Linked DNA regions of Elephas maximus indicus. The protein of the gene in region 2 interacts with the protein of the main gene of each other region in a biochemical or structural test. Links are inferred from orthologs where the notes say so. Each region holds a gene or a part of one and is shown on either strand. Other genes may lie near its edges. The genes, in order: APPL1, RAB5A, CHML and RBSN.

What was found.
Region 1: the proteins of RAB5A (region 2) and APPL1 form a complex in vitro, tested with the Homo sapiens proteins (2 studies listed by BioGRID and IntAct, with this or other methods). The link is inferred for Elephas maximus indicus from reciprocal best matches to the Homo sapiens genes RAB5A and APPL1.
Region 3: the proteins of RAB5A (region 2) and CHML form a complex in vitro, tested with the Homo sapiens proteins (2 studies listed by BioGRID). The link is inferred for Elephas maximus indicus from reciprocal best matches to the Homo sapiens genes RAB5A and CHML.
Region 4: the proteins of RAB5A (region 2) and RBSN form a complex in vitro, tested with the Homo sapiens proteins (3 studies listed by BioGRID, with this or other methods). The link is inferred for Elephas maximus indicus from reciprocal best matches to the Homo sapiens genes RAB5A and RBSN.

What each region holds. Positions count from the first base shown.
Region 1 is NC_064838.1:61,882,794-61,889,861, reverse strand, and holds the start of APPL1 (DCC-interacting protein 13-alpha), read right to left. Parts: upstream 3,015-7,068; 5' UTR 2,947-3,014; coding exon 2,893-2,946; intron 1-2,892. Other genes in the region: HESX1 (homeobox expressed in ES cells 1), read left to right, coding at 4,346-4,513. UniProt on the Homo sapiens protein: Multifunctional adapter protein that binds to various membrane receptors, nuclear factors and signaling proteins to regulate many processes, such as cell proliferation, immune response, endosomal trafficking and cell metabolism.
Region 2 is NC_064845.1:19,813,870-19,821,181, forward strand, and holds the start of RAB5A (ras-related protein Rab-5A), read right to left. Parts: upstream 3,003-7,312; 5' UTR 2,652-3,002; intron 2,547-2,651; exon of another isoform or gene 2,203-2,546; intron 1-2,202. UniProt on the Homo sapiens protein: The small GTPases Rab are key regulators of intracellular membrane trafficking, from the formation of transport vesicles to their fusion with membranes.
Region 3 is NC_064842.1:22,516,027-22,522,881, reverse strand, and holds the start of CHML (rab proteins geranylgeranyltransferase component A 2), read right to left. Parts: upstream 3,024-6,855; coding exon 1,056-3,023; 3' UTR 1-1,055. UniProt on the Homo sapiens protein: Substrate-binding subunit (component A) of the Rab geranylgeranyltransferase (GGTase) complex. Binds unprenylated Rab proteins and presents the substrate peptide to the catalytic component B.
Region 4 is NC_064838.1:38,697,998-38,705,522, forward strand, and holds the start of RBSN (rabenosyn-5), read left to right. Parts: upstream 1-4,524; 5' UTR 4,525-4,614; exon of another isoform or gene 4,615-4,723; intron 4,724-7,139; 5' UTR 7,140-7,311; coding exon 7,312-7,459; intron 7,460-7,525. UniProt on the Homo sapiens protein: Rab4/Rab5 effector protein acting in early endocytic membrane fusion and membrane trafficking of recycling endosomes. Required for endosome fusion either homotypically or with clathrin coated vesicles.

The DNA.
Region 1 (7,068 bases), on a different chromosome or scaffold from region 2:
TCGATGATGGGATCTTTTGCAGAATGGTGTGGTCTGGGCTAGCTAATTCTAAAGATGCTTACAGTCAATCAGCTGGACTTGGACTTGCAAATTTCCCCTATTTTAATAATTCCCCCTAGTTACTGTAAATCAGAACTAAAAAGGGATAACTGTAATTCAGGATATTCTTCCGTGACTCCTAGGCTTTAATTTTTTTACATATCAATTGGCAGGCTATTTTTTATTATGATCAAATGATCTAATAAAAATTCATCTGTTGTATCAAGGGCTTTAAAAGTTTTCATACTCTTGGTTAGTCTGCTTCTTGGACTCTATCCTAAGCAGCCCGAAGTAAAAACAAAAAAATCTACGACCAAAGACATTAATCTCAGCCCTATTTATAGAAGCAAAACTTCGGAAAAGTCCTAAAAGTCCAACAATGGGACAATTGTTGAGTCTGTCAGGGAAATGTGCAGCCTTTAATTTTTTTAATTCAGAATGTAAAAGTATGGGAAGATACTTAAGCTATAATGTTAAATAAAGCAAGACAAAGGTTATATACAATATCTCAATTGCATTAAAACATATAGGAGGAAAAAGACAAGAATAAAGAAAGCAAACTGTTAACAGGGTTTGCTGCTGGGTGTATGATAGGTATGTGCATGTGTGTATGTATTATTTTTTGTACCTTCCAGGTTTTCTGAAGCAAATAATTATTATTTTTATAATCAGGAACAAAAACATTCACTATAATGAGGCTTAGAGAAGCTGAGTAACTTGCCTTAAAGCAGAAGGTACTAAGTAGTAACGAGGACTAGAACCATGGCTCCTGATCCCAGACCCAGGGCTTTCCATCCTGTCCATCTCTTTCTAAGAATTACCTCCAAGTATCTTCTCTTCCCAAATCCCAGTTGTTTCAACTAATTGTCCCAAATAAATACAACCTAGTTCAAGTTTGTTGCTTTTAGAAATTAAAAGAATATCGATTGGCCTATTTCATTAAAAATTACTGTAGAACTTATAGTAATATGATGTGTGCTTTTAAAAAACTTAAGCTCAAGTTGTAAACTAATTGTGTGAAAAGTTCAAGAAATTAATCAGTCAAGAGATTATTTCCTCCTCACACACCATGGCTAGGGCACTATGCAACCATTCTGAGCTGTGTAATCTTTACCGGCTTTTAAAAAAAAAAGCACCAGGTAAGGTAAGAAAGGTCAGGCTATCTGTTGATTATTAAGTAGGAAAAAATAAAATGACTAGGTGCACCTGACCAATACAGCCCACAAAATTTTTGCAGATTACCTGAAATATAGCTTATAACTTTATACTAAAACCAAAGAAAACCTGTAGCCGTCGAGTTGATTCCGGCTCATAGCGACTCTATACAACAGAGTAGAACTGCCCCATAGGGCTTCCAAGGAGTGGCTGGTGGATTTGAACTGCAAACCTTTTGGTTAGCAGCCTAATGCTTAACCACTGCACCACCAGGGCTAACTTTATACTAGGAGAGTCAGGAAAAAAAGAATGTGAACTATTATGGCAGTCAAGATAATCCAAGATTTGGCTTTCTCTCTGTCAGTACAGGCTGACAAGAGTATATTACAAGACAACTGGTCTGTGAAGATAACTTTCAGAACAAAAAAAATCCACAATCAGAGCCCAATTTCAACTTGGCAATTAAAATTGGCACAAACTTCAGGGTAGAAGTACCCAGGATGGGGAATCTAGCCCTTTCCTCCCATTTTTCTTTTGGAGTCATATTAAACATGAAACACGTGCAACTGTACTTCAAAGTGAATTATATTTCAGAAAATTTTCTTCATTGTAAGTGGTGCTCAGCCAGCAGTATCATCTTAAAATCGCTTCAATTACCGTGTAAAAGACAGGCTTCAAAAACCAAACCAAACCTGTTACCCCCGACTCGATTCTGACTCATAGCGACCCAGAGGAGAGAGTTTCCAAGGAGCACCTGGTGGATTTGAACTGCCGACCTTTTGGTCAGCAGCCGCAGCTCTTAACCACTACACCAGCGTTTCCAAAACACAGGGTCAGGGATGCAGTTCATCCATGCAAGTTACAGCGCCCACCAATCTTCCCCCCCCCGCCCCCCGCCCCCCGCCTAAAAACAGCTGTGTACATTCTTGAGTACTGAAAAAGGATCGAATGGCTACGTTTTCCTACAACGTCTTCGGCTAGGAAAACAACGCCCTAAACTCCGAAGGCAGCGCCTGTATTTCGAGGAGTTTATTAGGACCAAGTCTGCCCCGCGCGGCGCGGCGGCCGTGGGTCCGCGAAGACGGGGCACCACATCCCGCGCAGTGCCACCTCCAGCGCCGGCGGCCACGACACCGGGCACGCTCGGCCGGGAGGTGCGGGCGCAGGCTCCGCGGCCCACGACGGGCTTCGCCGACGACTCCCCACGGGCAAACTGACAGCCTTTCAGCATCTCCCGAAGAAAAACTGCATTTCCTTTTCTCGCACGCCGAGCCTCAGAAACCAAACGCTCCCGGGCTGTCTCCCCTTCTGCCTTTTCTCCGAGAAGGCTTTCCGGGGACAGCGTGCAGAGTCTGGGCTTACCACTTCCCATCACGCCGCTAGAAACGCACCTACTGCCAAACCCTGGGAGGCTGGCGCGCGGACGTGACCGCCGGGCCCACGCGCGAAGCGGCGGCGGCTCGGGCTCGGCCGGCGGCTGTCCCCAACCCCGCGCGCAGCCTCGGCGCAGCCGCGCAGGCCCACGCCGGCCTCGGGCGGCAGGCCCAGCTCGGCGGCTCGGGCGCGGCCCACGACGGGCTCCGCGGGCGGGGGCACTGGGCGGCGGCGCCCACCTGGGCCGGGTGGGCACCTGCGGCGACGGCGGCGCCAGGCCCGGGCTCGGCCAGGCCCGCTCCTCCCCTCGCCGCCCGCGCTCACCTGCGGGCTGTCCTCCAGCGTCTCCTCGATGGGCAGCTTGTCGATCCCCGGCATCGTGGCGGAGGGAGGGCGACGGCAGGAGACGCGCGACCGCCCACAGCTCCCCACGCCCGCCCGCCCGCAGCAGCCGACCCCGGCCCGCCCTCCCTGCTAGGCGCCGCCGCTGTCGCCGCCCCGCGCCACCCTCGCCAGGCCCCCAGCGGCCTCGCGGGAAATCCCGCCCCTAGGCCCCGCTGCTCCGCCTCCCCGTGCACCCATTGGCTGACGGCGACGTCCGTCGGCGCTGGGGGGCTGGCCGCGAGCTTCCTTGGCTGCGTCGGGCCGCGCGGCTGGTGCGGGCCCCGAAGGCGGGGCGGCGGGCGGGCGCTCGGGGAGGGCCGGTCTGCGCGCGCGCTTGGGTGCGACTCGTAGGCGACGTGGGAACGCCGGCAACTGGAGCGTCGAGGGAGGACCACACTGGGGAGTGTGGGGCGGTGTCGCTTCTCACGCAACTTTTGTCGTCAGGGACCTTTGAAAAAGCTCGACCGCTGGGCCTTTCTTTCGTTTCCTCAAATTACACCCATGTCCGAAGCTTCCAGCCTTCCCCCTGCCGCAAAATGGTGCTGGCTGACTCAGCTCTGTGAGGTCCCGAGTGTGTCACAGGGCTTTCGGGTAAATTTGTGGAGATTGACTCCAGATAATTTTCTAGGTATTTAAATATCAGTATACTCAGTTCAAAACAGGTGACTTGGTTGCCGGCTTCGCCGGTTCTTACCTGGCCTTGAACTGACGCGCAGCAACTTTGACTTAGGTTTGTCTTTTAAATCACAAATACAAGATCTTTAAAAATCACAGTACACTAGCTTATTATTTGGTAACTGATTAGCATTTCTGTCAGATTGAAAAAGTCAGAACAGACTTTAAACAGCTTCTTTAGCCTCTGAATTTACAAGCAGAGAAAAAAGTGCAGCTCAAAGAAGTTGGGGATTTAACCAGATCAAAACTAGAAGCCGGCCTACCTCCTGTCTCTTCGTCCCTCTGCCCCATCCTCACACTTCTCATGTGTTTCTGTGTAGAGTTTTAAAAAGTTTTCATCAGTATGCAGAGAAAATGGTAAAATCACCAGAGTCTTGTGAAAATGTAGCCATTAAATCCCTCAATCTATTCCAGTTTCAGTTAAACAGAAGAGATGCCAGGTAAAGGTTGTTAGCTGCTTGTTTACACACATACATTGGAACAAATCCATACAGTAACAGGAATAGAAATCACATATTTTAAACTAAAATACTCGGTTTCCTCATGATCTCTTGAAGGAAAGATAAAATGAGGTTAAGAAAGTTTTGCCAGGTAGACTTGGGATATAGTTTCAAAGAATTAGTCTTAGTTTTATAAGCTTGAAATGAGAACTAGCCCCTTAGATTGTTTATCTGTACACGAGTCACCCTCTAGAAGAGATCTTTAGTTTTTGAGAAAGATGGTTTGGAGTCAATTCTTAACGTTTTTGAACAACAGCATTCACAGCTGCATAGATGTACCCAGCCATCATGCAGACCCCAGCAACCCAGCTCTGCCCTCAATGAATATTTCTGATGCTGTCAGCACAAGCACCGTGAAACTGACTCTAAAAAGGAAGACTCTCAAGGTAAGTGACCTTCTGGGTTGAACTGCAATTTAGATTATAAGTGAAGTAGAAGAAAGGTAGTGAAAATCAATAAGTGAAAATGTCTGAGAAAGAAGAGTAATTATATGGTGTAACTGAAGGGAAGTTAGCCAGTTAACTCAGCCAAGCCAAATAATTCTAGTGAAAAATTCAATTAGGTATCTGAGTTATCTGGGTGGGGTATTGTCATCAAGTTAAATGGTTTCTTTTTTTGTATGTCCAGCTAAATTCTTTTTTGTAAAGGGTTCTCAAGAGGCTATTTCATTGTCAGAGAGGGGCAAGGAATTCTTGCCAGGCTCAACTGGCTAAAAAATGAAACAAACAAAAACAGATTGACATTCAATTGAGTGGAGATGAGGTTTAGTTGAATTTTAAAAGTAGAAAGAATCTTAAAAGGCCTTCCAGTTGAATCCTCCAGCTTTAGGCCACTTAACCCCCTGCTCATCCAAAAAGATGGTTGTGCTTCCTGTTTTAAAACATCTCTAAGGGTGTAGAATCTACAGTCTCCTTTGATAACTAGTTTAAGTTAAATCAGCCTAAATTTTCTGTAGTTATCCAAACTCAGTTCATTTTAAGCCCATTTCCTTTTATACAGGAAATGAGGCTTGTTCAGAGAGTGCTTTGGAGGTTACTGGAGACTCGTGTGTGGGTAGCGCAGTAAAGACTTGGTCCAGCTGTTTCATTTTATGGAAGGCAAGGCAGGATTAAACGGCATCCACCAAAGAATTCATTGAGACGTTTCACACCTATAATTTACAACAAAAGGACGTATAATCTTGTAAATAGACTTGTGAATTATTAGCCTCCTAAAATTATGTTTTGCCTTCTTATAATTAGATTTTTACGTGGTACTCCTCGAAGTTCTGGTTTGTGGTCTGCAGTAGGAAAGAATCCAACAACTCAAATGATGCTGGTGCTTTACTTTTAAAAGTCATCCCTCTAAGCCAGTGGTTTCCAAACTTAAATGCACACATAAAAGTCATCTGGGGAGGTTGTTAGAATGCAGATTCCCAAATCCTGCTGCAAGATTATAATTCATTAGGTTAGAGATGGGACTGCGAACCCGGGTTTTAAACCCCAGATCTCCACATGAGTCTGAAGTAGGTAATCCTCAAACCACATGTTGAAAAACTCTGCCCAAGACACCCTTTCCCATATAACTTTGCATTTTAGAAAATTTGGGGAGTCAAGTAAACATTTAGAAATGGAATTCTAGGTTCCAATTGAAGATGGTGATGGGGCACCATTTCCAGAATCATCTGGAGACCCTGGGAAGCCTCATACTCACAAATATCCCCCCGAAGACTCCACCAATCTGAAATTCTGGGGATTCATGCTCCATTTAGGAGCATACTGTATGATGCAAATAATTCTAGATGTTACCCAAGTAAATCACTTCTTACTGGGACTCACTTTAACAGATAATTGTTTTCTTCTTGATATCCAGCTGAGATGAACCAAATTCAGGGAATGGGTATATTAATTTTTAATTTGAGAGCTTGAGTCACTTCTGTTCCTTTAAAACATTAGAATCAGTGGTAAAGTAGGTAAAAGCTTTGAGTAGTTGAAGGCAGGACTCCAAACCAGTTAGAACTGGCTCAGTCATGGCTGACAAGCAAAACTGGAATAGACCTGAATTTTTTTAAATTTGAATGATCCAGAACCATAACCAGAAAGGGAAAAATTATGGGTTGAGGCCCTGGAATGGGAGATTTGGAAGAGGCATAGTGAGCCCTTTCAAGAGCCTGATGCAGAAAGAAAGGGTTATTTCCAGGACTGTGGAGAGTGAGTGACACACTTTAAATGCGCTGCAGTTGGCAGCCATCTTTGAGCAGGGCATTGCTGTTTCTGACTCTGCGCAAAATCCCGTGGGCAAGAGATTTGGTTGCTGTGCAACACCATAAGCTGCCCTTGTTTTATAAGACGGAGAATAAGTTTCTAGCAGGGCTTCATCTCGTAATTTTTCCTGTCCCAGTTATGGTTCTGGTTCACTCAAATTTTAAAAATTCCAGTGTGTTCTGGTGTTGCTTCCTTAGCCGTGATTGAACCGGGAAGAACAGGTTCAAAACCCTGTTTGAAGGGTAGAAGAAAAGTTCTGAGGAGTGGGTTGCAAGAAGAGGTGGGAAGGTAGCAAAAACCAACTGACTGTTCTTGGGCCACCCTCTGGCTTTGACCTTGACGTTGATACTGCTTTTGCTCATTGCTGCAGCGTTGTTAGAATGTAGGGAAAATTCTGTACTTCTACTTCGTGGACTGTAAAAAGAAAAAAGCCTTATTTCTAGGATAATTGTGTATGGGTTTGTTTCTTTTATGGTTGTCTTGATTCCTTTTTGGAACAAGAAGACATTAGTAAATTAATTTCTTTGATCAGGGGAAGTACTTGGAAACAAAGCAGCATGGTTTCCACTTCTGTGATGAAAATGGGGAGGTGGATGAGACCAGGGGCCTGGGCTCCGGGCTTTAAATTCTGGCTCCACTAACTTTGTGACTTTACTCAAATTGCGTACCTCTCTGTGTCTCCATTCTGGCATCTGAAA
Region 2 (7,312 bases):
GCTGTGACAAAGCTGAGTTTCAAACCCAGGCAACTCCAGAGGTGGCTCGGGGTTCACATTGTAGAGCTAGAGGACTTGAGTTAAAATAGTTTTGAGAACTAGCTTGGAAATCTCTGAAAACAGATCCTGGCACTCCAAAAGAGCTCAAAATATGTTAATTTTGAAAGCCTCTGTTAAATGGTGCATGTTTTTCATTAATTTGGAGTAACATATTTTAAGGCCCCAGGTTTGTGTGTCTAGTGGCTAAGAGACTTAAAACTGTTTTCTCATCTGCTCAAGAACATCATACGAAAAAAACGTTAACAGTGGTTCTCTTTGTGGTGGGATTAGTGTTTTATTTACTATACTTTTCTACAGTGTCATTAACGATAAATCTCATTATTTTCTATTAAACAACACATTTGAAAAAATTAACCTGGGTGGTAAGTTTCCACGTCTTCTCTTATCATTATCTAATGTCAACTTTCGATCTCAAAAAGAATAAGTAAATATTTGAAGAATCCATTCCATTTTTTCAATCTAATCAGAAAGCTATCGTAACAGTTTTCTCCCATCTTTAATCAAGATCTGACTGCGTGCTTGCCAATAAAATATACGAAACCTGAAGATGAATCTCTCCCTAAAAAGTTCTTTTCTATTTTATTTAGTCACCCCATATAGAAAATTTGCTTTTCCATAAAACTTGTGTTTATATAAGGAACATTTTTGATAATGAAATCATTAATAAACATAGCCAGGAGGATCAAGACAATAAAATCACCTATCCAACAGCTCTGAAGAGCTCTTACCTTTATCAATACTGTATCTTTTTCTTTAACCAGCACTAAAATATTTACAGATGAAATGATATGCTGTCTGAGAGTTGCTTTCAAACAATGGGGGCATAAATAAACCAAGTTGGCCATAACACAACTGAGGCTGGTGATGGGTTCATTATACTATTCTCCCTACTTTTGAATATTTTAAAAATTTTTCATAATTAAAAAAAAAAATGTTCTACCTTAAACACATTAGACTGAGGGTCAAATCTCGGTTATACCGACTCCTGCCTAGGTTCTTTAATTTCTGTAAAACGTAATGTGTAGAGCTGTTGTGAAAATTAAATGAGACGACACATGAAATGAATCTCTAACACAATGCCCAAAACACAGTAGGGCCTGAAAACTGGCAATTCAAGTGGCCATCTGAAGAGAAGATTAAATGTCCTTCAGACTGAAAATGAACCAACACACCTTGAAATAATATTACACACAACAGCAGCTGAAACATTCTCCAATTGTTTGTTACATGTTATCTACAAAACAGCAAACAATTAGTTATCAAGGACAACATGCTAGGATTTTGATGGTATTTCTAAAATTTCGGGGAAAACATCAGATTCCCGTGAAAACCGAGAATCTGATCTAGCTTTGCCTTGCAAGGGTTAAAGTTACTGGGTTATATTTCTCCAAGGGTCTCAAACAGGAAATAGCAAACTAAATCGAATTGCCAACACACAGTTCGCATAACATTAAGGTTAAAAAATACTTTATGTGCATTCATTTGTATTCACTACTTGCTGGAACTTTCGTCTGTACGGCAAAACAAGGATTTTGCATAATAACGTATTTTTAAACCTTTTGAAAATAACCAGTACTCTATAACTAAAGTCCTTCTAGGTGCTCTTTGATCAAATTTTTACTAATAACAGCTAACATACTGGGCACTTCTTTTGTCCAGGCACTGTTCTATGTACTTTAACCACGACAACCCGATGAGCTCATATTATTTATCCCCATTTTAAAGTTTCTGAACCGTCCTGAATATTCCCATAAGTGTTTTTTTCTTTATTACGAGAAAAGCAACTAACTCAACACTTAGGCTCCACTTAAGCAAAACACAAAAGCCAAATAGATGGATTATGATGTTCTCAGCTTAACGAGTCTAAAAGTCACGGGCGGGGGGAGGTGGAGGGGTAACGAGTTTCCAGGGAAAAAAACACCCGAGCAGACTTCACGGTCTCTATTTGCCGAGGGGGTCCAGAGGTCTGGTTATCTTGAGTTTCTTTAAAACTGTGGATTACCATCCTCCATGGATGACACACGACTCTCTAGACAGCCTATTTTGAAAAGCCTCCCCACCCCACCTCCACGATCACCCGTCTTTGGAAGTAGAAGGTAGGCGGAGCTCCCCCCAGTTCACACCTGCCGTAGGCCCCGGCTCCTCCTAGTAGTGTACCCCAGTAGTTGCTGGCCAACTCCAGATCGCCGGGATACGCAAGACCAGCAAGGCCCCTTGGCAATCTTTCGCAGCTTCCTCCCGAGAACCCAGCCTGGCTTTGCCCGGGACCCCCAAGACGGCCACGGCAGGCGCCAGGCGGAGCCGCGGCCTCCAGTACTCTTCCCACGTCGCCATCTTGAGAAGGGAGAGGGTGACACCCGTCCCTCCCACAGCCAGTCCCCAAATCCCGGTCAGTAAAGCCCCCTGACGGATGAGTCACCAGGGCCGACTGGACCGGCCACCGGGTTCGACGACGCTCTGGCCCACAGCAACGGCACGCGTGAGGAGTAAGGGCGGGGGCTCGCTGCCGGCAGGGGTGCAGGCAGGCTGGGGGCCGCGGGTAACCTGGGGTCTGGGCCCCATCTGGCAGGGGGAGGGGCCGGTTGGGTTACCTGCGACCGCAGCGCGCGGGGTTGCGGGGCCAAAGCTTCCCGGCAGCAGATCCCAAGCCCGAAGGATGAAACTGAGGCTGAGGCTGTGGCTTAGGCGGCGGCAGCGTCTCCTCCTTGCGCCGCTCCCCTCAGACTGGACGGTGCTGGGCTCGTGCCGCTGGTGCCGCCCCCGTCGGACTCCGTCTCCGCCTCTCCCCGCTCCGCCTTCCTCTTTCCTTTCTCCTCCTCCGTCGCCGCCGGCGCTCTGGGTCCGACCACTTCTTCCTCCTCCTCCCTCCTCCGCCTCCTCCCCTTAGGCCGGCCGCCGGCTTCTTCACAAACCAAAACACAAACACTCAAGTCCCAGCGCGGGAGCCACTTCCGCCAACCCCGCCGCCACGTCGCTGCACGTAGCGAACTACGCCCTTTCGTCACTTCCTGTCGTAGCCAGTCCGACCGCTCTATCCACTTCCCCGCCCCCTCTCAGGCCCCGCCCACCCCGGGAGCACGTTCGCGGGATGGGCGTGTCACGTGATGCCCGCGAGCGGCCGGGTCGGGTCGGGCTGCCTGCTGCCCTGCCCCATCACAGGCGCGCGCGGCCCCGCCCTCGCTGGCGCCTTTGTTATCAGAGCCCGGGGCCCTGGGGCTCCCGGCGTGGGCGGAGCATACTCGCTACTGCCTGGTTTGGGGGTAAGACCTGAAGAGCTAAATTTGTTACTCCGAGCCCTTTTGGGCGGCGAGGTTCCCTCTGGGAATATTAGCTCACAGCCCCCCTCTCCCCACACCGGAACACCTCAATCTTGGGCAACTAGGCTAAGGGGCTTTTTGCTCTACTGCCCCCCATGTCACGTGCTTTCCAGGAATTATCCCATTTCTTAAACTCCTAGGTATTCATTTTGAAACTAACGTGTTTCTCCTTTGGCTTCCTACATTAAAATAGTAACCCCCAGAGTGGCCCTCAACGCTGTAAACCTGGTGTCTAGCCCAGTGCCTGGAACCCACTTATCTTCAGTCATGGTTATGGAATGAATGAATGAGGCGTGCCTGCTTTACAGGTAAAGAATTTGAGGCATAGAGATTGAGTAACTTGTCCAAAGTAACTGCCTAGTTAGTGATGAAATTGTTTTTCTAACCTACTTTTTTTTTTTTTTTACTAGCTGGCTCCAGGACCCGAGTTCTTAAACAGACATTCCACTGAAAGCCAGCTCAAGACTTTGATTACCCTCTACAGCAGACCTACTGAAGGCATACTTCTTCAGTAAAATCCCACACAATAGATAGTCTCTGCAAGACACCTGTATCCAAACAAAATCCTTTTAGCAATTCAGAGGAAGAATGTTAAATTGATTTTCCCTCAGAATGAGGACCATTTTTCAGTTTACAATTTATAGCCTGTTGAAGGGACATGATATTGTCTTTGAAGTATATCAGAGCAAGGCATCCTGTGGGTACTCTGCCAACATAATGCAGTAGAAATGATCTGAACCCTTAAGCACGCATTCATTCAGATCAACTGCCCAATAACTAACCAGAAGAGCGTAACGTGTCATACCTAAATGGTATCTGTGGCACTTTATCCTCGAGGGGTTGTTCCAATATAATATTAGTCATGGTAATACCTCTTGGACAATCCCAGGAAGAATAAGGAAAGAGGATACCTCACATTAGTTTTGGCACGTAAATAGCACGTCCAAAAAAAAAAAAAACCCCAGAACAGACAACCAAAGCTATTCTGCTCAAACCTGCTTCTGCTTTGTGACTGGTGTTAACAGGTTCTCAGTCCCCCCCTCTCTTGAAACTAAAGAATCATCAATTCTTCCTTCTCTTCTTCATAAACCATTGTCCACTCTGTTGCTAAAAATTCTCTAGTCTCAAAATTTGAGCTATAATCCCAAAGCCAGAGCCCTGGCAGTGCAGTGGCTTAAAAGCTCGGCTGCCAGCCAAAAGGTCAGCAGTTCAAATCCACTAGCCACTCCTTGGAAGCCCTATCGGGGCAGTTCTCCTGTAGGGTTGCTATGAATAGGAATTGACTCGATGGGCAACGGTTTGTGTTTTTTTAATCCCAAAGCCTGGGCCATGGTAGTATTCATAAAAGCTAGAATTAATGCACGTTCTTGCCTTTTGAAGGAGCCCTGGTGGCACAATGGTTAAATGCTCGGCTGCTAACTGAAAGGTTGGTGCTTTGACCCCACCAGCCGCTCAGCAGGAGAAAAGACCTGGCTGTCTGCTCCCGTGAGGATTACAGTGTAGGAAGCCCTATGGAGCAGTTGTGTTCTGCCATATAGAGTCACTCTGAGTCAGAATCAACTAGATGGCAGAAACAGCTTGCCTTTTTAATCTACTCTTCACACTTTAGCCACTCTCCTCTTCAAAAATGTTCAATGATATCTCATTGCTTAATAGAGTCCAAAATTCTTTAGCTCTAGTCCCAACTCACCTTCTTACATCCCCTAACCACCCTATGCTCCTCCATGCTAACCGGAAAAGCATGATGCGTCATACCTACATGTTCCCATCTTGGCATCTTACTTTGTTCTCTCCACCTGAACACCATTACCTGGCCCATCGTTGCCAGGCTCACCTCAGTTGGGATGCCAACTTCTAGACAGCGTCTATGTATACTTCTCCCAGATTTAATTATCGTTTTCTTTCCTCTGTGGTTTCCCAGTACTTTGCTTTACTCTCTATAATGGTTCTTCTAACATCCTGCCTCAGAAAGTTCCTAGACTTTTCTCCTCAGCCCTTCAGTCTTCTTAGGATTACAAAGTTCAGTTTCTCACAGAGCTTAAGAGGATCTTCACTATGATACCCAAACCCAAACTCATTGCTGCCAAATAGATTCCGATTCATAGCCACCCTATAGGATGGAATAGAACTGCCCCATGAGATTTCCAAGGCTGTTTTTTTAATCATTACAGAAGGAACCCTGGTGGTGCAGTGGTTAAAGCGCTTGGCTGCTAACCAGAAGGTCAGCGATTTGAACCCAGTAGCCACTCTGTGGGAGAAAGATTTGGCAGTCTGCTTCTGTAAAGATTTACAGTCTTAGAAACCCTGTGGGGCAGTTCTACTCTGCCCTGTAGGGTCGATATGAGTTAGAATTGACTGAGTGACAGTGAGTTTGGTTTTTGGAATCTTTACAAAACCAGAGTGCCACATCTGTCTCCCACAGAGTGATGGGTGAGTTTGAACCATCAACCATTCAATTAACAGCCAAGCTCTTAATCATTGTGCCACCATGGCTCCTTACCCTTGGGTTACACATGTTGCTGTTGAGTCAATTCTGACTCATAGCGACCCTATAGGACAGAGTAGAACTGCCCCATAGGGTTTCCAGGGAGCACCTGGTAGATTCGAGCTGCCGACCTATTGGTTAGCAGTGGAACTCTTAAACACAATTGCTTTGCAAACTGCTTGAATCACTGAGGAGCTGTTCCAGGTATTCATGTTCCCTGGATCCAAATTAGTTCCTTTCATGTTGCAGGTTTTCAACAAACATTGGTTGAATGAATAATTGCACAACAGGAGGTTACTCCTAACTTGCTGTTGGATATTGAGTAGCTTTTTTTTTTTAAAGCGAACTGAAGAAATGATAAAGTAAAAGAGCTGAACAGAAGATTTCAAAGGACTTCTCAAGAAGATGAAGTAAAGTATTATAGTGAAATCTGCAAAGACCTGGAGTTAGAAAACCAAAAAGGAAGAACATGCTTGGCATTTTTTAAGCTGAAAGAACTGAAGAAAAAAATTTGAGCTTGGAGTTGCAATAATGAAGGATTCTGTGGGGAAAATTTCCAGAGGTAGCATATGCTCAAGAGCTGATGGTACTGAAGGAGGAAGTCCAAGCTGCATTGAAGGGAATGAGAAAAAAACAACGGTCCAGGAATTGACAGACTACCAAGTAAGATGTTTCAACAAATGGTTGCAACACTGGAGGTACTCACTCATTTGTATCAAGAAATTTGGAAGACAGCTTCCTGGTCAACTAACTGGAAGAGATCCATATTTGTGCCCATTACAAAAAAAGGTGCTCCAATAGAAGGCGGAAATTATCAAACAATATCATTAATATCACACACACACAAGAAAAACAAAAACCTGTTGCTGTCGAGTCGATTACAACTCATAGTGACCCTATAGGACAGAGTAGAACTGTCCCATAGGGTTTCCAAAGAGCAGCTGGTGGATTCAAACTACTGACCTTTTGGTTAGCAGCTGAAAGCTTAACGACTGCGCCACCAGGGAACTTGGGTGGCACAGGGGTTAAAGTGATTATCTCTGCAAACCGACAAGTCAACGGTTAGAAACCACCAGCAGCTCTGCAGGAGAAAGATGTGGCAGTCTGCTTTCGTAGAGATTTACAGCCTTGGAAACCTTATGGAATTGCTACGAGTCAGAATCGACTCAACAGCAGGGTGGAGATGGGGGGGCGGGGAATAATATCACACAGAAGTAAAATTTTGCTGAAGATCTTTCAAAAGCAATCGCAACAGTACATCGACAGGGAACTGTCAGAAGTTCAAGCCGGATTCTGAAGAGGGCATGGAACGCAGGGTGTCATTGCTGGTGTCAGGTGGATCTTGACTGAAAGGAGAGAATACCAGAAAGCTGTTTACCTGTGTTTTGTTGACTATGCAAAGGCATTCGACTGTATGGATCATAACAAATTATGGATAACACTGTGAAGA
Region 3 (6,855 bases), on a different chromosome or scaffold from region 2:
ATTGCTGTCAAGTCATTCCTACTCATAGCAACCCTACAGGACAGAGAACTGCCCCATGGGGTTTCCAAAGAATGGCTGGTGGATTTAAACTGCGATGGCTTTAATCCCAGGTTAAACATGCCTCAGTCAATTTCTTAGGAATTTCAGTACAGCCACTGTGAAGTATCTTTTCTTGGAGCATTGCTGCCCCCCTTTGTGGCCTGAGTTACTTGCTGGAAGTTCTTTTGAGTTGGCCTCATCTACTGAACTTCAAGTTAGAGCAGGGCTCTGCAGAGATTTTCTGAAGTATTAAACCAGAACTAATCTTATCCTCTAACTTTTTTCTCAAATGAAACTCTGAAAAATAAGCTCTTCAACTAGTAAATTCTGACTCTTTCTGTAATATGGAACTAACTCAGTTGGTTACCAAGGTCAAGCTGCTGAATTATACCATAAAATGTATTTTAAACATCAGCCCTTCACAAAGAATAAAGAATCATGCAAGGCTATTTGCTTAACAATTACAGACAAATGTATTTTATCATATTGGCACTTGGATTGGTTGCTATTACCATCGCCACACTACGTGTCCATAATACACATAAAAAGACTCACATAATTTATTTTTGTGTGGTTCACTGTTCGAATATCTCCAAGAAAGCAGATGTGGTAGGAAATGCAATCGTTGCAAAAGTATTTGAAATATTCCTTAGGGATTATTAATTGCTCTGTAGATAATGATAAAATCTGAAGATCACTGGATACAATATTACCTTCCTTTAAGCAGAGTTCCGAATATGGAACGCTCATATATATATGCAATACCAAAAATAAAGCTAACACTATTTAAGTTTATGGATCTTGGGGTCCATTCTTAAACAAAAGAAGTCCAATAAGCAATGAATCAGCTACCGATAAACAAAGACATCCAATGACTGAATGTCTGTCTCATAGAGAGTTAAAGACAACATCTAGCACTGCATTTATCATATAACCACTTCTATTTATTCATATGGAAACTGTCCTTGAAATGAGAATATTCTGACGCCAATGCAGAATTTCCAGTTTTGCCTGTTCTAATTTTGAAGCAGCTTCCCTGGACTTTCTAGGGTTTTGCTTTCTTCAGAGGATTCTGGTTCAGCCATTATTGTCTTATTGGTTCCAGGAGCCTCTGGTTGCCTATCATCACCATCAAAGACAATGTCTTCTGGATTTGGAGGTGGGGGGCAGAATTCTTCACTTGGAAAGATCTCATGGAAAAGTGTTTCAGCTTGCTTGACAGCATGCTCACTTCCCAGACCAGAGTCAGGCCCAGAACAGACATAAACGTTGGAAGGCAAGCCATTATATGAGCTTCTGCTGATTCCTGAGGAATCTCTCATATTAAAATAAAGAGCCCACAAGAGTCTTGGCTTTTCAAGCGCTTCCTTGTCTACTTCCGTTTCAGCATATGGGGTGAATAACTTCTTCACCACTGATTCTAAATCTTCTCTTGCTGTTTTAGAAGATGAACACGTCAAATGCACCAGATAGGTGTCTTTCATGCATGTCATGGTTGAAGAACATAATTCAATGACCCGAACAGCACAGGTCCCTGCTTCTACTGGAGGCACTATCAAAACAGAAATCTGCTGGTCTGAATCTGTCTTCAGTATAGATTGGTCTGTAATGAGCACTGCCCTAGAGATCTGCTTATACTGCACATGTGCACATGTTTCCTCAGAAAGGTAGCTATCCTCCACAATAAAATACTTGGCATTTATCCTTTGGCCAAAGTGATCTATAACTGCTTTACATCTCCCAGATTCTTTGTCAACTATAAGGCAGTGTACCTTATGCCGAAGACAATAGATTCCGCCAAAGACTGCACACATCCTGCAGAAACACTGGGGAATTTCTCCTTGGCCGTATAAGGGAAATAAGAAGGGAGTGTTGCCGAACCGTCCAAGACACTGAAGGAAGTTTTTTGTTGCTTTAAGGCCATCTATCGTAGTGCAAGATGACTCTGATGTCATTGCAATTGAGTGCAGTACAAAATGTTGGAGATTTGGAGTTAATTTTTTAGTTTTTAAGTACTCTGAAAATGAGCATTGCTTGAAAGCTTCGTATTCATCAGGATGTTGCTCATAGTCAACGCAAAACGTGAGAAATTTCATGAGCATCCTCTTTTCAACCATAGTGAGTTCTTTGCTATTGAAGACATCTGCTCTGGAACAAGGCACTTGTTCAACTTTTCCTTCCCAAAATGCAAGAATCCTTGTGACATTTTTAAATTCTGCATATCGACTGACATTTGATTTGATTAAAAGGTCAATCAGCAATCCTTGAGAATACAGCAGCTTTGATACCAAATCAATATTAAACCTCCTGCCTTCTTTAACTATCTGAGAGTAAGTAATCCTGTTTCTTGTTGGCTGGTCTGTGTTGCCTTCTCCTGCAGGTTTGTTTTCATCTTTGTCTGCATCTGAAACCGCGTGAGCACGAGCTCTGTCTCCACCATCGTTTCCTTTCTCCGGGGGTTCCTTGACGTCATTTACATCTAGCGAAATCTCTCCATCACTTTTTGAAGTGTCTTGGGCAGGCCTTTCATAGCTAGGAATGTGTACTAAGTGCTCGTCTTCGCCCAAGCATGCAGAATCCAGAGTTTCAGTGAGGGTACTAGATGCCACTGAGCAAGGATTTTTCTGCAAAGCACCAACCTCTTCAACACTGTCATCCAAATCTTGACTGGCATAACAAAAAACTTCCACGTGTTGAATGGTTTCATCTTTCTTGCGAAGAGTAATGGCTTCTTCTGTTTCATGGATCAGGCCTTGCCATGCAGCTGTACTTTCTTCCCCATCAACACAGTTTTCCTGATATTCCTTCAACCAGGATAGCAATCCTGAAAAGCTGAAGCTAGCCCAGTTCCCTCCATAGTAACTTCTGGAGTCAACATGCAGAACCCTCTGGCCACTTCTTGAACTTGCAGCTGCAAGGATGGATTCAGGCAAACCTGTCCCTATTATAACCACATCAAACTCTGTGGGGAGACTGTCTGCCATCCTGGGAGGTAATGTGTCTGGTGACAACTGCCGATGAAGGAAATGCGTACAACTCTAGGATGAGGGCTCAGCCGAGGTGTGACTATGCTGAAATAGAGTCTCTCCTTGTGATGTTCCAGTTCATCCCAGAGGCATCAAGGTTGCAGGTCCTAGCTGTTTAATGATTACCCTTTTTAAATATATATATATATATATTTTCTTATAGGTCAGTAGCATGAAAACATGATAAAGTACATCTAATCATTCTGAGAATACTAAAAGTGATGTGTGGTTTTCATTTCTGTATTTCATCTTAGCAGTGAATGTCAAAATGCATCACATATGCATTTGTGACTGGAACTCTTCTCTGAAAGAAGAAAATTCAAAAAAGAATACAATTGTAAACAACATAAAAGTAATTTCATGCAACACCAATTACAGTCTGATGGGGCCTCACTTGTTATCTGGATAGAAACCTCAGCTAAATCAAGTCATTAAATGCTTTCTCACATAGTTTCTAATTTCCTGAAAATGAACAATGGAGATATACTCTCGCAAATCACTTAGTTTGATAACGAAAAATGGACATAATAATGTCTGACAAAAATAAAGAAGAATTAGCATAATAAAATTCTGTAAGTTTTACTTTCAATAAAACTACATACAACTATGAGTTTAGACTCTAAGAAATGTGTGATGCCATTGTATTTCTGGGAATAGATTATAGGCTATGTGAATACTGTCATGATTAGGGGTATTTCCAAGGCCAATATAGTTGGTCATTCTAGAGGTGTTGACCAGAATACCTTTCCAGACCCCAACCACCCATAGGATCTTATGGTAGTCACATGAAAGTATGACTATTATGACTGAATTAATCAGCCGGTTATTAATAAAAGATGAATCTGTAAATCGGTAAAGCAACCGGCATTTAAAAATACTTAGGTGCATAAACGAATAGGCCTACCGGGAAAGATATTTATTTGTAACAATTTTTTTACGTGAATGTACATACGCACATATATGTTCTGTAGAACATTCCCGGGTTCATATGTTAGAATATCTTAACATAAATAACTTACATCTACTTCTAACATTTGAATAGGATGATTTCGTATTTTGCTAGACTTCTACAACTCTGAATCTCTGTATCCCAAGAAATACTTGCTGTCTAAACATCCTCTGCCAAGACTAACGTGTTTTTTTGATGTTTTTGGTTTTGAGGGGGTGGGAGGTGGTAGTGATTAAAGTCTTCTGTGAACTTCCAGCATACTCCATGTGCAGAACACCCGTGTGGCACTAGGTGTGGCCAGCTGTGGAGCAGCCATGGGCTAAAGGGCATTCTCACCTAGAAGTCTACAGTAAAGCACGACCTCCCCACACCTATGCACGAGGGCTGCCCTCTACACACTCTGCTGCTAGAGGGGTCTTTCTATCATTCATTACACAGTGAGTAAGAGTGACAGTGCTTTGAATTCTGATCTCCCTTTCTGCTTAACCTACTAGAATCTGCATCAGTACAAGTTAGGCCTACCTACGCTGTCTAGTCAAAGCCTCTGCCTCATTCCCTGAGAAACCAGGAACTGCACACAGAACGAGGTGTTTGCCTGGCCTATACATGTATATATATGTACGTATGGCTGAGTTATTTATTCTGCCTTCTTCCAGCAGGTGTGAAGAGAGTGACAGATTCCACGAGGGTACGTGAAGAAGTGTGATCCTAGCACAGGCTTATCCTTAGCTTAGCAGGGGATAGTTAGGAGCTGAGGGTGGAAGTCAGTATAGAGAGAGGACAGAAGCCACAAGTGCTAAAAGAAAGCACCTCTTAAGCTACAAATATCAAAGGAGTCATCAAAATACATAGCTAGACGAGACCTTAGAGAACATTTAGCTCAACTACTCCATAACAGAGATGAGAAAACTGACCCCTGGAGAGTTTAATCGACCTGGGAAAATGTACACAGTTCATCAGCCATAGACTCAAGAGCGGAATGCACCCTCATGCCATCAGCCACTATATTTTCCCACTATATCAGGCAGCCTCCTCAAATGCCTCTGGGGGCTGAGGACAGGGTGTAGCCACTGCAGCTTTTTTTTTCCCCCCTCCCTCTTCAGTACTCCATGGCTAGTTGCTTTTTGCTCAAGAATAATACCTGGGGAAGCATGCTGCCTTCTTCATGTTTAACCCTAATCTAGAAGCATCATCCTTAGAATTTACTCCAAAGAAATCTGAATCGTTACTAAGAACTTTTCAAGCTCCATCATAACCCCACTCCTGACCTGTCTCCAAGGGTTTAAACAGGTCTCTGGACCTCTTACCTCTGAGTCCCCACCTCTAATTCAAAAGCAGGAATAAAGTCATGGTTGAAAACACTGACCAAATGCCCAGAAAAACAGAGCAGTCCTGAGGTAAAAGACTGCACGATGAGTGTTTCTAGCATTCTTTGAAAATCGCTTCTGATTGGGATGGGCCTTGGGCAGGGAAGGTGAAGGAGGAGAGAAGAAAAAGGAGACAGGAGACAGGAGGGTGGTGTAGGCAGAGGAAAGAGGTTGAGGAGAGGGTCCACGTTGGCAGTAATAAAGAACTCAATACACCATTGCTTTCAAACTACCTTCCAGGCAGATTAAGGTAGAAATAGAATTTCCCAGCACAGAAAAGGTACTTTGTGGAAATAAGAGATTTCACATCTATGACCAAACACCTGTTGTCCATCCTAGGGGGCATTATTTTTGACACTTGGCCTTGAATCACCCTCTTTAAAGCTTAGCCCTGACTTTAAAAAAAAAAAAAGCCTAATAGGTATTTTTATTAATATAAAGAATTTAATCACATAGCCATCTGTATCATCACCTACATACACTTAAAGCCCCCTCCCCAAGTTTCAAATCTTTGTACACATGAAAGTCTCAGATGAACGCTTACTGGGGAGTGGGGAGAGAATGGTATTAGAATTACTGAGATAATTAAATTAATGGAGTGATGATTCCTACGACATTTTCTTGTTTGCTTCAAAATATCAAAAAATGAACCATTAGCAAACATCATATTTGGGTTTGTCACAGCATAAGAAATCGGTGAGCAAAATATTTTTGATGATTATTACAAAGATTTTGTTCTCCGAAACCTGCTAAGATAAAAAAGCAGTCATAAATTATCAATAGATTTCTGGACAGAAAAGGAATTTTAACACCTGAAAAATATACATTTCTATCTCAAATCATTGTTCAAATAAAACTGCCAGAAAAAAAAAGGGCACCCCAAAATAATTTATTTCCCAAGCTTAGAAAATCATGTCTTCCAACGAAATGCTGGGTTGATCATCCTTAAAATGTCAGTTTCTGTGAGATTTAATTCTTCCATGGGGATTAGAAGAGATAAACTGTAGAGATAAATTTTCAATTAACAATCAAGTCGTTCTGCTTTAATGAAATCTACTGTTTGCACAGCTATTTGTTCATCTGAGTTGGGATTCTCACCTTAGATTTTGGTGTCATGGAACCTATAAGGAGGAAAATATAGTAAAAAACAGCTGATAGGACACATGCTAATTTGCATTCCTGAATGAAACTGTGTCACTTCCTAGGAAGCATTCAAAGGTTTACAACTGCTAAGGTGCAAAAGAAAAAAAAAAATTACACATTGCTATTATTTTAGGTTTCCACCTCTCATTTTAGGAATAAGAAAAAAAAATGTGTATGAATTAAGTTTCTTCCCGTTACCCTTCCCCCAACTTTCACGAGTTAGTCACTTTTTTCCTTGAATCTCCCGATTCTACTTTCCTCGTCTCTTTCCTCAAAGTGCAAAAGCCGTCGTTAGTGCCCTGTTGAATTATTGTAGGAGGTAAAAGCAGAG
Region 4 (7,525 bases), on a different chromosome or scaffold from region 2:
TGTGGCTGGTGCTGTTCTAGCACTTTCCAAACATTAGCTTTCTACGGGGTTCAAGAGTTTCCCCCTAAAACTCAAGTCCTTCCCAGAATCTCAGAATGTGACCTTTTTTGGAAATAGTCTTTGCGGATGTGATTGGTTAAATTAAGATGAGGTCATCAGGGGATTAGGGTGGGCCCTAAATCCAGTGACTATTATCCTTGTAAGAGAAGAGACCCAGAAGCAGACAGACACACAGGGAAGAAAGGCATGTGAAAATGGAGGCAGAGGTTGGGGTTACGCTGCCACAAACCAGGAAATGCCAAGGACTGCTGGCAACCTCCAGAGGGTAGAAGCAGCAAGGAAGGATTCTTCCCTAGAGCTTTCAGAAGAGAATGGCCCAGCTGACACCTTGATTTTGGACTTCTGGTCTCCAGAACCAGGAGACAACAAGTTTCTGTTGTTGAAAACCACCCACTTTGTGGTACTTTGTTACCACAGCCTTAGGAGACTAGTAGCAACTCATTTAATCCTCCACCCTAGGAACAGCGACTATTATTATTGCATTTTACGGGAAACTGAAGCTCAGAGAATTTGAGTGATCTGCTTGGAGCCACACAGCTACAAGTGGCAGAGCTGGGATCCAAACCCAGGGTGGCTGCCTCCAATGTCTGTGCTTCTATCCACCATACCTTGCTACCTCCCTCCTTACTCCATGTCTTATTTCCTCCTTTCTCTGTGTCTTTCCTGGCAGAAGCAGCTACCACCTGCTCCCCTATTCACAGCCTAGCCTGGCACCCTCTACCCATTCTTCAGACAAGGCCCTGCCTCCCCGTGGTCTGCTCTGGGCCACAGCAGCAGCTGGCAGAGGCCTGGGATCTGGAACTTGGGCCAGTACGGGGGAGCGAGACCTTTGGGGCATTACGTCATGTGCCACACACCTTCCCCTGATGTCCACATCATGATTTCCCTTCCTATCAGGGATTTTGATGGGATGCCAAGTGCCTTGTGCTACTCAGGATAAACATATATAGACAATAAGGGACCAGAGAGAGACATAGAGCTCTAAGGTACAAGGGGAGGTGAAGAGGTCCAGCTGCCGGTGATCCCGCCATTAGAGTCAGCTCCCTGTGGCCTGTGGTTTCGGGCAGGGCTTCCAACCAGTTCAGTCATGGCCGAGGAAGCAAAACAGGAAGAGACCTGAATCAAAAACAAAAAAAAAATTTTTTTATTCTACTTTAGATGAAGGTTTACAAAGCAAATTAGTTTCTTATTAAACAATTAATACACATATCATTTTGCGACATTCGTTGCCAACACCACGACATGTCAACACTCTCCCCTTCTCGACCTTAGGTTTCCCGTTACCAGCTTTCCTGTCCCCTCCTGCCTCCTTGTCCTTGCCCCTGGGCTGGTGTATGTTTTGTTTTATGGGCCTGTCTAATCCTTGGCTGAAGGGTGAACCTCAGGAGTGACTTAGATACTGAGTTAAAAAGGCATCTGGGGCCATACTCTCGGGGTTTCTCCAGCCTCTGTCAGGCCAGTAACTCAGTTTTTTTTTTTTGTGAGTTAGAATTTTGTTCCACATTTTTCTCCCAATCTGTCCAGGACCCTCTATTGTGATCCCTGTCAGAAAGGCTGTCGTGGTAGCTGGGCACCATCTAGCTGTGCTGGACTCAGTCTGGTGCAGGCTGTGGCAGTTATGGTCCATTAGTCCTTTGGACTAATCTTTCCCTTGAATTTTTAAAATTTGGGTGAACTGGAATGATACCTGGAACAGGGAGAATTACAGGTCAAAGCCCTGCTGGAAACTTAATCTCCCCCTTAGGAAACAGGGGCAGCATACTCATTGCATAGCTATCAGTTGTCTTGCCCATTGGATTTTGAGCTGAGCCGGAAACAGCGGTGCCCTGCTCAAAGATGGCAGTTGACTTCACAGCTTGGAATGTGTGTCACTCTCTGCCTTCCTGCCAGTAATCCAATCTCACGCATCAGGCTCCTGAAAGGGCTCACTACATCTCTTCTGAGTCTCCCATTCCAGGAGTTCAACCTGTAATTTTTCCCATTTCAATTATCATTCCAGATCACCCAAGTTTAAAACTTTGAGTCTGTTCTAGTTTTGCTTCATTGACCATGACTAAACTGGTTTGAAGCCCTGGTTTTGGGAACCAGAGCCAGTGCCTTCACATTATCATTCTAGGTGTGAACAAACTTTCCTAGGTTTTCAAAGGACTCCTGTTCTTCCCCACAACCATGCCTTTGCGTATGCCCCTCCCCACCCCGCCTCCTGGAAGGCCTTTCCCAACCCTCTCTACCTGAGGGTTCTGCTCCTATGTTGCCTCCCTGGAAACCTGCCCTGGATTTTCACAGAGGGAATAATTAACCTCTTCTCTGATGCCGGAGCTCCTGCACACATGTGCAAACTCTTTTTGAATGTGTCTGTGTCCCCCTGATGGCTGAGCCTCCTCCAGGGAGACTGCCCTGCCTCCTCTCACTCTCTCTCTCTTTGCTTGGTACATGGTTGGTGCCTGGGAAATGATGAGAGATGCAAGAATTTTCAGTGTTCAGGTCTGGACCCCAAGGAGGGGCGGGGTTTGAAGGCCTCGAGGCAAGATGACTCTGGGTTCAACATTTACAAGCTGTGTGACCTTTGGCAAATCACCTAGCCTCTCTGGGCCTCAGATTCTTCATCTGTAAAAATGGGAGGGATATTAATTTGTACCTCATAGGGTTGTATGAGAATTAAATGGTATGTAAAACACACAGAACAGTGCCTGGCATGTGCTAATCACTCAGTAAATGTCAGTCATTATTATTGTTATTTTAGAAATGGGAAAAAGAGTAGTTGGAAGGATTAACTAATGTATTGAATGTGGAAGTGCTTTTTATAAACTGTGAAGCACACAGGAAGGTCTTTGTTACCATCATTTTTGAAAATATCAATAGAACATCAGTGAGTCATCTTCAAAACACAGTTCAGATAACTAGTAAAAAAAGGTCTGTCTTGAGCATTATGTTCTTTTAAGAATTATCTCTATGGGATCAAATTGACAACAGCAACTTGAAAGATTAGATAGGAACCTCAGAGGGTAGTGAGTTTAGGTTAATGAGGTAGGAACATCTTAGAAAAGGAGGGTGAGAATGGTCGCAATCAATGTCATTAAATTGTACATGTAGAAACTGTTGAATTGGTGTATGTTTTGCTGTGTATATTCTCAACAGCAACAAAATTAACTAAAATTTAGAAGGAAAAAACAATTGGAACATCAGTGGCAGAGCCATCATGATTCTAGCATTAATTCACAAGCTGCAGGTCACATTGCCATGGCTTTTTCGAGCAAACCAAAGGGTGAATGTGATACTGGTTTTTGTGGATGATAAAATGCCAGGCGAACGCATGATGGTTTAATACAAGGTTCATCCTCTGACCGCAATGATATTCCCACCTGTAAGCATGGCTCCACAACCTATTGCCATGAGTAGGGGGCCATCTCGGTGGTAGCTAACAACAACAACAACCGCCCCTCATTTAATCCTCATAAAAACCTTATGAGGTGGAGACTATTATCCCCATTTTACAGATGGTAATACTAAGGATCAAAGGGGTCAAGGAAGACCAGGGATCTGGAACTCCAAGGCCCAAGCCATCATGCTCTGCAGCTCTTGCTTCTGAAGCCCAGGCCACTGCTAAGCCCAGTGTCTCACCAGCACTGGAATTAGGTTTTGTCTCTATATACTTTGTGGTTAGTGCTGAATAATCCATCCTGTTTTTTGAAATGTCACAGATTTGAACATATTGTACGTCCACTGGATACGCCTTCTCATTCCAAGCGCACACACTTATGTGGTTCTATTCCGAGTTTTCCCACATCCTCGGCTTTCCTCAAGTCTTCCAACTCTAGCTCTCAAGGACTTTGACTCTCGAATTAATTTAGAACTGCAATTGGGAGTGGGGGTAGAAGGCGTTAAAGACCCCCTCTGCTGACTCATTCACTGGCACAATGAACTATAAAAAACCCAATCCATTGCTGTCAAGTCAATTCGACTCATAGCGACCCTATAGGACAGAGAACTGCCTCATAGGGTTTCCTAGTCTGTAATCTTAAAGAAAGCAGACTGCCACATCTTCCCCCACCCTGCAGAGCCACTGGTGGGTTCCAACTGCCCACCTTTCGATTAACAGCCGAGCACTTGAACCACTGCACCACCCAGGATCCTTACAAAGGAATTATCCAAACACAAAAAACCATCCAGTGGCTTCTGACTCATAGCGACCCCACAGGGTTTCCAAGCCTGTAAATCTCTATGAAGCTGACTGCCACGTCTTTCTCCCGCGAGAGCCGCTGGTGGTTTCCAACCAACGACATTTCGGGTCGATGGTTTTAACCACTGAGCTACCCGCCGTTCTTAAGGCACCTACACATAGCCCGCCGGTCCTCTTCGGGCGGGTGGAGTACGTTCCCGCCCCTTCACGCCCTCGAAGACTCGGCGCTCTACGGGCGTCTGCCAGCCTGCCTTCCGGTTTTGGCACCGCCTCCGCAGGCGCGCCTGCCGAGCACCGAGCCGAGGATGGCGATGGCGGCTGCAATGGTGTAAGGGGCTGTGAAGGCCCACAGCCCCGGCGGGAGGACCTGACAGGTCTGCGCGGCCGCGGAACCCCGACCGGTTGCAGAAGCCAGGTCGAGCCTGGAGGGCGGAGGCGTGGCGCCACTCGGCAACCGAGACAGGCCGGCCGTGCGGGCGTGCGGTGTGTGTGACATACGTGCTGGGAGATGCGGCTTTTGGGTTGTGCGTTTCGCTTGTGTGTGCTTGTAGTGATTGGGCTCTGTGTGGTTATGCGGGGAGCGTACGGTTGGTGTTTGGTTATGCGGCTGAGAAGCGGGTGGCTGTCTCCTGAATGCTTGTGTTCAGTTCTCTGGTTGTGTGAGGTTGAAGCGTTCGTGCTCAGAGTTTGTGTGGGGTTGTTTGTAGTGTTTGTGTTGTGTCTGCGGCGTGTGGAGTTGTCATGTCTGTGCTCCATGGGGGTTGGGTTTTTCCAACAGTCTGTGGTTATACGACGTGTGCATAATCGTGATGTGTTATGTGGGCCAGTGCTGTATGCGGTCTTGAGGCTGTGGTGAGCGCGGCTGCGGGAGGTGTAGTCTGTGAGGCATGTGGTAGGATAGCATTCAAGTAGGACGCGTAGTTGTAGGATATGTGGATTTTATTTTTATTTCTTGTGCGATTTGGGGTTTTGGAGCTTGCATATGTATTCAGTTATGGTTGTGGGGTCCAGTTAGGTGGTGTGTGTTTGGCTATATGATTTTGGGGTTCCTTCATTCATTCACGGGCTTACTGCGTTTTGACTATGTGTGTGCCAGGCACTGTGCCAAACCCTGGAGATATGATGGTTGGGAAAACAGACGTAGTTTCTGCCCTCATAGAGCTTACAGTCTTGTGTATTTAGTCACTTTACATACGTACGTGTGATTATAAATTGAGATGAGTGTTGTGAAGAAGTACAGGTGCTATCAGATGGAGGGTGTGCCTCCAGTCAGAGAAGGCTTCCTTGAGGAAGTGGGGTTTGGGCTGGGATGTGAAGGGTGAGTCTGAGGGAGCCTGTGGGGGCGGTGGTGGTTAGTATTTGATTTGTGGTGGTTATGGGTGAGTGCAGGGGAAGGAAGTGGGCTCTCAGAGTCAGAATGTCAGATGGACCATTGTCTGGAGAGAGAACAGATCAGACCTGGGGCTACAGTTTCCGTGACCATCTAGAAAAGGAGCTGGGAATTGCGTGTGTGTAGTCGTTAAGCTGGTTGTTGTTTGTTGTTAGCTGCCATGGAGGTGGCCCCTGACTCATGGCAACCACTTGCACAACAGAAGGAACTGCTGCCTGATCCTGTGCCATCCCCATGATCAGCTGTGGGCTGGACTGTTGTGATCCACTGGGTTTTCATTGGCTTATTTTTGGAATCAGGTCAGGCCTTTTCTCCCAGTCCATCTTAGTCTGGAAGCACCCCTGAAACCCATTTAGCATCATAACATGCAAGGCTCCGCTGACAGATGGGTGGTGGCTGCACATGGGGTACATCAGCCGGGAATCAGATCTGGGCCTCCTGCATGGAAGGTGAGAATTCTACCACTGAACCCCAGTATTTCTTAGCTAGAGGAAAAAAACTGGGACCTGGGGTCTCCAGTTGATTAGTTTCTGGGTCACTGCCACTCTTCAGGTTTGGGGCCAAGAAAGTCCCTCTTCAATGGCCCTCTGAACAAGTTCATCCAGAGCTGAGGGTCACAGCTAGGTGTGGCTAGAGTTCCCCTGAGGAGAAATTTCTGCTTTCGTGGAATGTTTTTATCTGGATTCTTCCTATGGCTGGGAGTCTTTCTTAGGCGACCTTGGAAGTGACTTTGCCATGACCCAATGAGCCAGAAAATGTAACTTATTAAGTCCTGAAATCCTTTTGTTTTTGAAGCAGTGAGAACATTGGGCCTGCTGTTCAACTGCCACTAACTGATTTATAAAATCTAGTAAGCTCATTGGTGAGACAGTGCTCTATAAATATAAAACGCAAAACAGATTGTTCTTTTCATTACACTAGGTTTTGTAATGCTCCTGCTTTGACTGAGATGGGTTTTTTTTTTGTGTGTGTGTGTGTTTGGTTTGTTTTGGTCTGGTTTTTTGTTTGTTTTTTAGGGCAGGCACTCTGTCTTTTTCGTCTTTGCATTCCTGGCTCAGATGCTTTGCAGGTAGCAAAAACCCAATATATGCAGTTGAATAAATGATCCAGGTAAAGAGAGTCAAATAAAAACTACTACTTGGTGATGAATACTTCAGAAATTTCTTCAGCGGCCACGGTGGCATCAGATTATGAAGTTGGACCATTTGGAATAATGTGAAAAGAATTGCCTTGGTGTTGTGTTTGCTTTTGAAGTTGAATTTTCCTTTCTGGTCCTCAAGACTCTCTTCTTCCTGCTTCAGTGAGTTTCCGTTGTCCAGTGACATTCTCAAAATCTTAGACGACTTTGTGTTTTTGTTCTAAGGACTTGAAAAAGTAGTTTGCTTTCTTAAACTTGCAGTGACCAAACATTAAGAACCTTTGTTGAATTGTGAAAAGACAAAGAGGATTTTCAATTGCTGCTAATTTGTCTGAATTGGGTTTTTTCCCTCTTCTTCTTTCCTTTCTCAGGGCTCTTACTACTCCAGAGAGGAAACCTCATCCAGGGCCGCGATGCCACTTTCCCGTCATCAGTGTGCTGTTTCGTTAAGCTAATGCCGCAGGAGCCCTGGCCCCTTGTGGAGGAATCAAGCTGACTTTTGGCATGAGGCTGGTGCCTTGTGGGGGTTGAGAGGGCACTGCCATGGCTTCCCTGGATGACCCAGGGGACGTGAGGGAGGGTTTCCTCTGCCCTCTGTGCCTGAAGGACCTGCAATCTTTCTATCAGCTTCAGTCACATTACGAGGAAGAGCATTCAGGAGAAGATCGTGACGTCAGAGGACAAATTAAAAGTAAGAGGCACATGGGATGGTTTTCATCAGCTTCCGTGTTGCTACCAGAATATAATAATCAAATCA